2 linked regions of the Drosophila melanogaster genome follow. The gene in region 1 interacts genetically with each later gene. Each region holds a gene or a part of one and is shown on either strand. Other genes may lie near its edges. The genes, in order: Rab35 and sky.

Region 1 (6,565 bases):
TGCAAGGTTTGCTCAGCCGTCAGCCCGGAGGCAGTGCCCGTTGCCGAATCGGACTCGGATGACGCCGGCTCAATGGACGACTCGGCCGAAGCCCCACGTCCAGGTCACCTAAATGGTGATCAGATTCAAGAGAAGCTATCACCCTCCCATTGGGATGATTTCGGCTCCTCCGACGATGATGCCGTCTTTCAGCGTGCGTTCGATACCAAAGTGCAGAGTCGCGTGGTGACCCTCTCCGATGATCAACCATCTACTTCTGCGGGGGCACGCGCTTTAGCCGATCGTGGAACTCGCACATTTGAATCACAGGGAACGCAAACAACATTTCTCTCAAGTGTAGTAACCTCGTTTCGCTCTGCTACTGCAACTGCGACATCATCCACATCCACATCCACATCCACATCCGCATCGACACTTGATAACCAAGAAAACACTGAGCCGTCCACATCGAATGGACGTCGTCCCTGGCGCCCTAGATACGTCTCGCCGCCTAGACACGTGTCGGATAGCGATGACGATAGTGATGAATATGATAGTGATGAATATGAGTCGAAGAGGCGCCAACTTACGCCCACTGCCGCTGCGCCGTCGAATGGCAGGCGTCTGTTGGGCTCCATCTCGCCGGAGCCGAGCACTCCTGCTCCACGTGTCTTACGTCGCCGCACTTTGGCCAACAGGCCTTCCTCACTCGCCAACATGGATATATCCTGTGTGGCCAATAGGACCCGCCACCGCTTGTCCAACCACATGGCCAGCCGCAAGGATTAGGAGAACAGATGACATTACAATAGATCACACTCGCACAAATCCATGTACACGGCAAGATCAATATGGATATATCCTGAGTGGGCAGGATACCCGCAGGGACTAGGAGAACAGATGACAACATCACGATACATAACACTTGCACATTCCATTAACCATCACATCGACTAGGTTGTGGACCAAATGCGTGCGTTTGGTTCGCACCCGTTATTCTCTATTTTCCGCCTTTTGTACATATAAAATTCCATTAAAATCCTGTTCTCCTAGCGGTATTCGCTAATAAGATGCATTTACCATTTATTTGCTTTGTTAAGTAAGCTAAGTAAGTGCTCCTTTCCACACGTATAAATAACTTGTATACATATTTACTTTAAGTAGCTGTAGACATTATTTTCCCCATCTGACTTTCTTTTCAGCAGCTCGCAGTGCCTACATTATTTCAATTACTCTAAGCATTACATTTTTTTGACTAGCGATCTAAGAATCCCTGAATCCAGTATCTGTATCAAGAATCCCAGTATCTGAACGCTAAAATGAAATAAATAAAATTAAAATATTTGAAAAATAAGTTAGAATGATTTTATTTGGATGTTGAAAAAACTTCTCAAAAGTTGTAAACTACGAATACTCACTTTCATTAAGAGTATAGCGTTTTGCTTCTAGTTAATACCCGCTACAAATCGGTATGAAAGTATATAATATTTAGTTTTTTTTTTGGTATTAATATAATATGGGCTTTATAAGTGATTATTTGAAGATTTTTTAAAAATCGCGCCATTCATAATAAATAAGTGCTGGATATGGCCAAAAGTTTATGCACAGGTGGCAACGTTAGCAACCCGCTAAACGGCAACACTTGCGATAATGTTCTCTAAATATATCGATACATATTGATATTAAAAAAAATTGCCAGTATTAATTTATTAAACTAATTTAATTTTTTGAGTGGGCACATTGCATATTTAGTTACAGAAAAATTCGACTTTATGCTCCGGCTAAATGAATCGATGTTTGTGGGGTACTATCTATCCTAAACTATCGATAGCATAAACATCGCATTTGGTTCCGTCTCTAGTGTGGGTGCGTTAGCAATAGTTTATCCAGAATATGAATTAACCAGAATTAATCCGCAACGCCGACGCCCACAAATTCCCACAAATCGTCGTCCTTTCAGCGCTGCAAGAGCAACCCGGAAGCTGGAAAGTTCGAGACCGCCGAGAAGCCCAATATAAATTCAACAGTCAGCCAGAGCTTCACTCCTGTGTGTGTGTGCGTGCGTGCGTATGTGTTCGTGTGTTGTGTCTGTGCTACAGTGTTGGAGAGAGCGAGACGCACGATTGCGAGGGAGTCGAGCTTTGCGAAAATTTGCCAGCCTATATTGAAATATTTTCGGCACCAAATCGCCGTCTTATCCGCCAGCAAGCCATTGGATCTGATGGAAATGAGCCTGCCGCTCGATTTCTCTTCGCAAATCCGCTGTTAAAGCAAAAGCAACAATTGTACCAGTGGAGCCAAAAAAAGAGAAACACACCTACCTAATCAAAGGAAATTAAATAACAAGGCGGCGGCAACAACACTTACATAAATTAACTCGCAACGCAACAACACTAATAACTATAGCTTATCACACAGCAACAAAAACATCAGCAACAGCAGCAAAAACAACAACAACAACAGACCAGCAGCCAGAAAGAACAACAGCTTATCTCAGATATTCAGCCGGCTGCACCAGTGCGAGCGAGAGGGTCGTAGCTTGGGGCGAAAGAGAGGGCGCTTCCGAGAGAGTGCGAAAGAGAGAGAGAGAGAGAGTAAGCGCAGGGAGTGTGCTCCTGTGTGTGTGAGTGTGGGAGCAGGCAGCAGAAAAAAAGAAAACAAAAGTATATTTTGCATTGTTCGACGCGCCTAACTGTAAATATAAAAGCACTTGCAAAAACAAGGAAAAACACAGAAAAACAGCGAAAAAACGTCGAAAAATGGCACGCGGCTTCGATCATCTATTCAAGTTGCTAATAATCGGCGATAGCGGTGAGTTTCCCAGGCATTCCCGTTTCCCACAGACCAGGTGCTTAAAAATAGCATCGAGTTGAAAATAGCAGGTGTAAATTGCAATTTGTCCCCGTTTCCTGGCCAAAAACGCAGTTGTCTCCACCTCCCTTTCGCATTACTGCATCTGATTACCATTAATGTATGTTACATTTAAAATGCTAACGCCAACATGGCGTATGAGTAATGTTGTTTTCAGTTTCCATAATACTTTCAACATTCGTCAGCTTCTTGTTTCTATACTCAATGTTTTTGGCATACTCAACATGTGTTAGGTTGTACTAATTTTATATATTTAATCATAAATGCAAAAGCACTTTATATCAGTCCTGTCCTCCTCCTAACGTAGCTATCTACATATTCATTTGGGCGTATTTCGAGAAAGGTGGTCTGGCTCGGGCAAAACCAGGCTCATGACTAATGGTGACGCACTGGCAGGATATACAGCTTGATATGCGAGCAGACCAGCTGCGGCGGTAACCGGAGCAGGAGAACACTCCCCGCTCCACAGCAATGTCATATGCCGAATGGGCTTACTTGTGTGTAGTAACGATATCACATTTTTGTAATACGAATCCCATTCCATCTTTCCATCTGATCCCCTGCAGGCGTGGGCAAGTCGTCGCTGCTCATCCGGTTCTCGGACGACACATTCTCAGGCAGTTACATCACCACCATCGGCGTGGACTTTAAGATCCGCACCGTGGACATCGAGGGCATGCGCGTAAAGCTGCAGATCTGGGACACGGCCGGGCAGGAGCGCTTCCGGACAATCACCAGCACCTACTACCGCGGCACCCACGGCGTCATTGTCGTCTACGACGTCACGAACGGCGAATCCTTTGCGAACGTCCGCCGCTGGCTGGAGGAGATCCAGAATAACTGCGATGTGGTTAAAAAAGTATTAGGTGAGCCTATATCGTATTACGCACAGAATTGGTTGACCCGTACTGAGAAGTAGTTGTTGGCTATGCCAAGCGGAGCTTAATTAGTAGACAACTTACATTATCGATATAGACTCATGTTTCGATTCCTCAACAGTGGGCAACAAGAACGACGATCCGGACAGGAAGGTGGTCATTACCGAAGACGCGCAGCGGTTTGCGAAACAAATGGACATCGAGCTATTCGAGACATCTGCCAAAGACAACATAAACGTGGAGAACATGTTCTTGTCGATTACGCGACAGGTGCTCGATCACAAGCTGCGCACCTCCCCCAACGAGCAGCAGAAGGACACGCTCCATCTGAAGCCCAATCCCAAGGGCAGCAAGGGTGGGAAGTGCTGCAGGTGAAAGCGGCTCCGGCACGGGAGCTGGCATTGCAACTGGACCGACGGCGACGGCGGCGGCGGCGGCGGCGGCGGGACGGGAATTGGAACTGAAATTAGGACCAGGACCTGGATCAACTTCGGGGGCGGACGGAATCGTTGTGGGGGCGCGTAGTTTGTAGGGTTCTTGGCTTACGATTCGACACAGACACTCACTCACATAGACATAGCTAACACCACCAAACAACCAACAACAAGAAACCACACAAAGCAAACAACACGAGACAACTGAACAACACTCACACCCACTAGAGACAACAATTTTTTTTGTTTTGTTTTTTTTTTTCCTCCTCAGTTTTATTCGGAATAATGCCAGATAGCCGTAAATTAAAGTGTAAAAGTGTAAAGCGCAATTAAATGTATTTAGCAATTTATATACATATTAATATATACATACATAAACAAAATTGAAACAAATTGCATATTTATATACAAGAATATATTTATATTTCAAACGGAAAATTGTATTTACAATAACAAGAGCGACCGCAGGAAAAGGCACGAGGACGCAAACGCCTCGCTCGCTAGCTAAGCTACGAAACACATTTATAGAAATATATAAATATATATACATAGATATACATATGTGGGGAGATCAAATTATTGGCTTCCGATCGCGACTCTCCACTTTTAATACTCCCATAGTTTAAAATTTAAAAACGAAAGCTCTGATCTGCCGACTATCAATCGCGAAAGACACGTTTTGAATGAATCTGAAATTTTATTTGCTTGGAGTGATGCTTTTAAACATTTCGTTGCTCTCGGAAACTGCCTTACTTGTTAAGATTTCATTTGATATTATTGCCGCCATTCCGTGATTGATTTAACTGGATAAACTAAAGAACTTCAGGGACTGTTTCCAATTCTTTTGGATGTGCTTGCTTAAAATGAAAAACCTGAAACTGTCAGCCAATATGATTTCCAATGCAAATTTTCTGAAGAGAAATAGTTGTAGGTAATGTTTGTATCTATTCGAAAACCGGGGAACCAATACTCCAATTCTCTGATATTATATACATACATTACATATGTACCCTCAGAAAGAATAAAGATTGATCTTTGGAAAAACACGATTACTTGCGCTCGGACTGTAATTCAAAACCATGTTTTTAATCCATAGCTATGTTGAATATGTCCAAAATGTAGCCACTTTTCATTTAAGTCCTTAGGCATTGCTGATTTAAAATTAAATAAGATATGATTGGCAATCAACATTTTGTGGCATTCTTTTATGCCACAAATGCATTTAATACATCGCTACATTTGTATTGTATCTAAGTTAAAAACGCACCAAATCGCACTGCAAGCACGTTCGTTATTTTTGGTAAACTTTCCCGATTTTACAATTTTTGTTAGCTTCTAAAAGTAGTTGCATACTCTTCGGCGACTCTATGAAACGAGTGAATAACGTAGTAACGAAGCGCACTAGAATTTATATTTATATGTTCACAATGTACATATGGGTTCGCTTTGTGGTAACCATATTTATTCTGCTTAAAAAACCATTCGATTCATAGATTTATTTTAAATACCACAATAATCGATTTCGGTTCCAGTATATATTTATTTATATGTAAACCTTGAGCTATACCCAAAATTCAAAGACTATGTTATTGCGTTTGAATACCAAAATGAATTACCTAGTTGTGGTTTGGGCTGAAAAAAGCTTTCAGAAAGTGAGGCAAACTCATAGTTAAATACTATTCTCGAATATGAAACCTATATTTCATACCAACCAAAAGAAAACTATATATTTATATAAATGTATATATATATCTATATATATAGATGTATATATTTATCGATCAAAATAAAGAAGGCAATTTGATTTTCTAAAATGTTTGGTCTTTTGCATTTAGCCGTTAAGATTTTGGGTTGGATTTCGGTACTAAGACAATCAGTAATATAATCTTTATATCTTTAAAATGGAATTTTTTCCCTTCTGCAGTATTTGAAAACAATTTGTTTAACTTTTTTATGATGTATTCAGTTGTTTGTGACTTTACGGATCCCAGAAAAATAGCACATTGTTTATGATTATTATTTACTTGTATTATTTATTGTTTTTCAACGCATTTTTTATCGCTTCTGTTGGGGAGAGCACGAGGTTAGGGCAACGACTAGTACGGGAAGTGGGCAGATGCGGATTGGTGCGGATTGGGATGGGGATTGGCTGGGCGGATGGTGACTGGTTTGGCAGGCAGTGCGGCTCCGGGACTATACGACTCCCCATCCCGCCTCAGTGGTACTTGGCCACGGGAAAGGTGCGCGTCTGGCGACAGGACACCAGGGCGTCGCCCGACTGTCCCTGTGGACAGCGGCAGACAGCCAGGTGGGCCTTGGGCTCGCAGCTGGCTCCAGTGGCACACTTGCCGATGCAGGGATCGATGCACTGGTAGTTGATGCAGGCGCGATGGTCGGGGCACT
Region 2 (5,223 bases), on another chromosome or scaffold:
TCCTTTACAAGGAGTCGGAAACCACAAGCGAGCAATTGGATCTGCTAGAGAAATACCTGCAGTCCCTGGCGGTCGCCACCCATCCAGACAGGAAAATAGTTGAGCACTTGTTTGGATTGCTAGAACAGGAATCTATCAAAAAGCATTTAAAGCTGAGGGAAAGCGTTATCCAAACCGTGGCCACCTTGACCCGCCAAAGCGGACTAGATGTTGAAGATCCTTTGTTGAAGGAAGTGCGTTCTTATCTACTGCAAGGTCTCACCTCCAAGGAGCCTACCTTGTACATAAGGGCTCTGCAAAATCTCCAGGATCCTGCTACCATTGAAGCTCTGCTGGAGCACGCTCAAACTGGCGAGGCTCCCAATTTATCGGTGGCTGCCTTACAGGCTCTGAAAGCCTTTCCCCTAGGTAGCTTTAACTCTTCACATCGCTTGCAGTTCGAGAGCATATTCTACCAGCGAAAGCGTCGCTTTGATAGCTCCGCTCGCACTCTGGCTCTTGATATTATCCTGTCCCTCCGGCCAACTCAGGAGCAATTGGGCAACTTCTTGGATTACCTAGCCTCCAATGATCGCCAGTTTGAGATCAAAACATACGTGCTGCAGAAGCTAAGAATGCTGGCTGAGAAGTGCCCGCGATTTAGGGCTTTGTTCAAATCGGAGCTTGTCAAGCGGAGGCATGTAAACAACTACAATGTGCTGGGACAAAAGGGTGAGTACCTAATTTCCTAATGACACTGTTCAAACAATTATGAACTTTAATACTTACAGGTCTTACGACAGTCCTCACCCGTCAGCTTTCCCAGGCTCCAGCCTTCAACGAAACCCTGCTAAGTACCCAGGAAGTGTATCAGGGAATCCTGAAACGTGGCTCCGTGGAATTTCTGCTCCACGCAGGCCGTTCCCAAGCCAGCAGCTTTAAATTGGGCATCTACACTGCCGGCTTGGGCTCGCTGGTAGGCGATGGTGACTCCGGCGATGGAAATGATGCAATCCCGGCGGATGATGAGTTCAGCGAAGACGAAGCGGTCACCGCGGGCATGGAGATCAGTGTGCAGGGTGCTCAATTGCGACCCCTAGTATTCTTCAGCGGTCAGACCGAGCTAATGGGTCACGTGTGGGGAGGAAGTGCCTCGGACTCAACGCCCGCTTACCAGGCAACCACTTTGTCCCAGGATAACGAGCACTACATAATCCTGACCTCCGGGGCGACGCTCCACTGGCGAGTTCTGGGCGCCAGGAGTGTGGATCTCAATGGCAAGGTGGGATTCAGCCTGTGGAATCGAAATGCCCAGACGGAAATCCAGCAGAAGTAAGTGAAAAAGCCAAAGCATTTGATTGGAATGTTATTTAACTCACGATTAACTTTTGGCTTATAGCACTGGCAGCGCTGTTCTTGGTCATTTGGCCGTTGGCTTTACGTATGCGAAATTAGTGCAGGATTTCAGCATCACCCACGAACCAAAGTTGAGTCTGAATGCGGACTTGGACTTCTACAGCGGCATTAAATTGTGCATGCAACTCCAGCGACCTGAACAGCTTCTCAAGTAAGTTTGCTAGAACTATTTTAATGACTCACATGCTAATTGAAAGCCTCCTTCACAGACAAACCAACGTTCGTTCGGTTTTCCTGCAGTCTGTTGATCGTCCTTATGCCAAACATGTGCGCTCTACACTCTCCCACAAAACTGCCGGCTGCACTTTTGCCCTCAACCAAAAAAACAACGAAATGTGCAACCTCATTTTTAGGGACTTGTAGATTCTACTCAAGAGATTATTGGAGATTCCTTGCATAAAAACTATATTTCTATGTGAAAACTCAGAGATTAAGACTCGATATAGTTGTAAACTTAAACGAACAAAGACCATTTAATTTTCAAATGCAACAAGTTTTTAATATCTTTTGAGCAACTCGAAAATTACTGGAAAAGTGGAAATGTGCATTTTTTCTCGATTCACAATAGTCACACCTTAGATTTAAAAATCCCGCCCAAGTGCTGCGAAACGCGAAAGGGGACTTATCGAGCTATCGATTGCAAGAGCTACGCATTCCCATCCCTAAATTCCGCAGTACATTCAAACACTACTACGTTGTGCTTCTTCTTCAAACGCGGCATAAAAGAGGTGCACTCCACAAGCACGAAAAGAAAATAACTACTGCAAAAATATCGTCGAACGCACGAGTCATATTAAATAAAGGTTAATAGAAGCAGGCATCGGAAAAGCTTGATTCCGGAGAAGTGAAACAAATTAGGCCACCGAATGGTGCTCTTCTTCTTTTTGTCGGAATTAGAAGGCTCGTCGCACACACACAGTCGCAAACAAATGCGAAATCAAAAGCGTCATCCGATTGTCTAAAGTAAATACTTCTATTTGCAAGCTGAAAGGCGCGACAAATTAAATAGTTCAAACTTAATAAATCGATATTTGTGTCACCAATTTGCGCGTTTAAATCAAGTGCTAAGCAATGTACTAAAATTAACAATTCCCTTGCCTTTTAAACTCATACAAACACAATTGGAGCGAGAAAGAGATGGGAAAGAAGAAGAATTGTTGTTGTTGACGTGTTCTGTTTGTGCTCATGTGTGCGTGTTCGGGAATTTCTGTTGCGTGAAGTTGCAATACCAAAAAAACCACGTGTGAAATGTTCTGCAATTTTTGTAATTTATTCTGCTGAATTGTTATCACTTTTTAAGAAAACAATCTGTAAGAGGCGTTTGCCTTGGCATCTTATTGGCACAACATTTTAACGCAAATTACTACTCCGTACGAAAGCATTAAGAATCATAAATAAATAAAAAACGAGATCTGAAATCTGAAATATGTATATTGAAGAAAGATCTAGAATATCCAAAACCAGGGGCACAGATGGTGACTATTTTTGTGAACTGCATTGTGATAGGGGTACCTTTTTACCACACACACTTGCGCACTTGCTGCTCTCTCCCTATTCTCCCACTTTTTATAACGGTATCACGCACCCTGCTTATCGGCATTGTGAAAATTTTGTTTGGCTTTAAAGAAATTTCCATTCATAATAATTTTGTGTATTTCAAAAGTTGGTTTATTTGCAAAAATATGTATAAATTCATTTGCTAACATTAGTTTTTTACTTGTATGGTTTGGGTGATGCTCTCTCAAACTTCTTTAAGTCTCACTCGTCCGACATCCAACCGCACAGTGGGAAAGTTCTTAATCCTTTCTGCCATTATTTCAGTGCTTAAAACAGGATTTTTTGTGTGAAAAATCCGAATTCACTGATATAAATACACTAAATTGTTGTTATGTTATGTTTTAGTAAAGTTGGAATTAGCTTGATAAAATCATGATTTTATTATTCTTTAGTTTTTTAATAATGAGATTTTGTAAATTGTTCCTAAACAATAAACAATAATAACTAAAAAAAAAAAACAGTATTTCATGCATACCACTGCACATTAATCCCACTGTTCGTCAAACGTTGGAGAGCGAGCAACGACGAGAGGTTCGCAACCGAAGCAGCAAACGAAAGTCTATTTAAGCAACCCGCAAAAGGCGCTCTTTCGTATTGCCCGATAATTTTTCGACCGCGCTGCTTGTGTTTTCGGTTCCCGCTGAAACAAACATAAAAAAAAGAATATAAAAAATATATATAAAAAAAAATGGATGTAGGGCGAAAATAGTTAAACCACTTTAAATATACGAAATACGCGAATTTCGGAAACTAGAAAATCCATCTTTTAAGGTAGTTTATTTATCCATCTCGCTTTTTCACTCTCCTCTGTGTGCGTGCGTGAGTGTGTGTGTAAAGGCCAAATAGTGCCCTTCGCCTCCCCGGCCACGCCCCCTTGGGCAGAGTAATAAAATGGGAAAGAGAATATATATCTTGCTCCTTTAGAATTTACCTGTGAAAGTGAAAACGTGACAACACGATAAAACGGACGAAGCAAGCAAAACAAAAAACGAGTGCATAAAAACAACGAAGGAGGATAAGAAAAAGAACAAGTGCAGCAAATCAGAAAAAAGAGAACGGAACAAGAACACAGAAAAAAAGTAAAAATAACCAACGAAGAAGGGCAAGGAAAACAAGAACAAAAACATCAGATATTGACAGGTAATAGCAGTCACTCTCCCATCCCTTTTTTTATCGCTCTCTACCCAAGAGAATTTCGAATTTAGTTGCACTATCACCATTTCTATGATTCATTTGTTATTTTGATAATAAATTGCAATTCACGTGGACTAAAGGGTTCAATCATGATATGATTGTTCTTTGTGATTCATTGTGATCATACATTTTATTCAAATTTGTTTTTGCTGAGATCCAACAAAATTGTATAAGTCTTAAAATGCCGTTTTTTAACTTTCATGTGCTCTTTATACCTACATAACTGATTAGATAGACGTTATTTTTCGTTCAACCTTGCACAATTTATGACGGCAGCAAACCACGTTATTCCATGTTGATAGCGAGAAAGAAGTTCAACTTTTTAATGCTGTTTAGTTAGGCATTAAAAATGTTGTAAAAAGCGAGTTCCGTTTTGTTCTTAAATTTACGGTGGATTATGTTGGTCGTTGGCTTTTTTTTTGTCCCATATTTTATGTTTATAGCCTAAATATAAGTTTATTATAAGTTTAATATAAATTTATGGTATATGTAGTGATTTTATACTTTAGTTTGGAATTTATGTGGACTTATGCACAAGTTCAACAGCTACAAATGTGTAACTTCAAAAAACCCCTTCCGTATTTCCCCCAAATAAACATTTTATGTCTTATATCTTCCTAATCATGACTCATCAATAGATAAATATTTTTTGGGTTTGGCAATCTCCGATTGCAAAATAGACGACCTTTGGAGTTATTAATTATAACTCTGTTTGTACTTCAAACATTTGTTTAAGCGATAAATATTCCTCATTGGGTCATATAATTTGTTTAATCTATAACTATAAATACAGTCCTGCTGGCTGAGTTTCAACGAAAAGGCAATGCAATCAGCAAACATTTGCCAAAAATTAAATTTCTCTGCTTGGTTATCTTATCTGCGGGCCAGAGAGCCGCATAAAGGAACACTAAATCGGCAAAACATGAGCCAGGTACTTGCGCATAACTAACTATCTATCTAAATCCATTTGACTGGCAATGAACAAATTGTATTTGGGTAAACTGTCTGTCAGCTGGTCCCATCGAACCGTTCGCTCACTTGAGATGTCCGATACAAAACGACTTTTTAAAAGTGCCT

What was found.
Region 2: of Rab35 (region 1) and sky, changing one suppresses a phenotype caused by changing the other (phenotypic suppression), as found in Drosophila melanogaster (one study listed by BioGRID).

Annotation. Positions count from the first base shown.
Region 1 is NC_004354.4:20,155,121-20,161,685, reverse strand, and holds Rab35 (Rab35), read left to right. Parts: upstream 1-1,813; 5' UTR 1,814-2,738; coding exon 2,739-2,790; intron 2,791-3,157; exon of another isoform or gene 3,158-3,328; coding exon of another isoform or gene 3,329-3,347; intron 3,348-3,416; coding exon 3,417-3,716; intron 3,717-3,849; coding exon 3,850-4,103; 3' UTR 4,104-5,920; downstream 5,921-6,565. Other genes in the region: Phf7 (PHD finger protein 7), read left to right, coding at 1-768; aspr (asperous), read right to left, coding at 6,378-6,565.
Region 2 is NT_033779.5:20,915,774-20,920,996, reverse strand, and holds the start of sky (skywalker), read left to right. Parts: upstream 1-2,065; 5' UTR 2,066-2,198; exon of another isoform or gene 2,199-2,358; intron 2,359-3,535; exon of another isoform or gene 3,536-3,854; 5' UTR 3,855-4,092; intron 4,093-5,223. Other genes in the region: Mtp (microsomal triacylglycerol transfer protein), read left to right, coding at 1-711, 771-1,311, 1,379-1,546, 1,605-1,758. UniProt on the Drosophila melanogaster protein: GTPase-activating protein (GAP) for Rab35 which regulates synaptic vesicle (SV) protein recycling and turnover at the neuromuscular junction boutons and possibly ventral nerve cord via endosomal trafficking.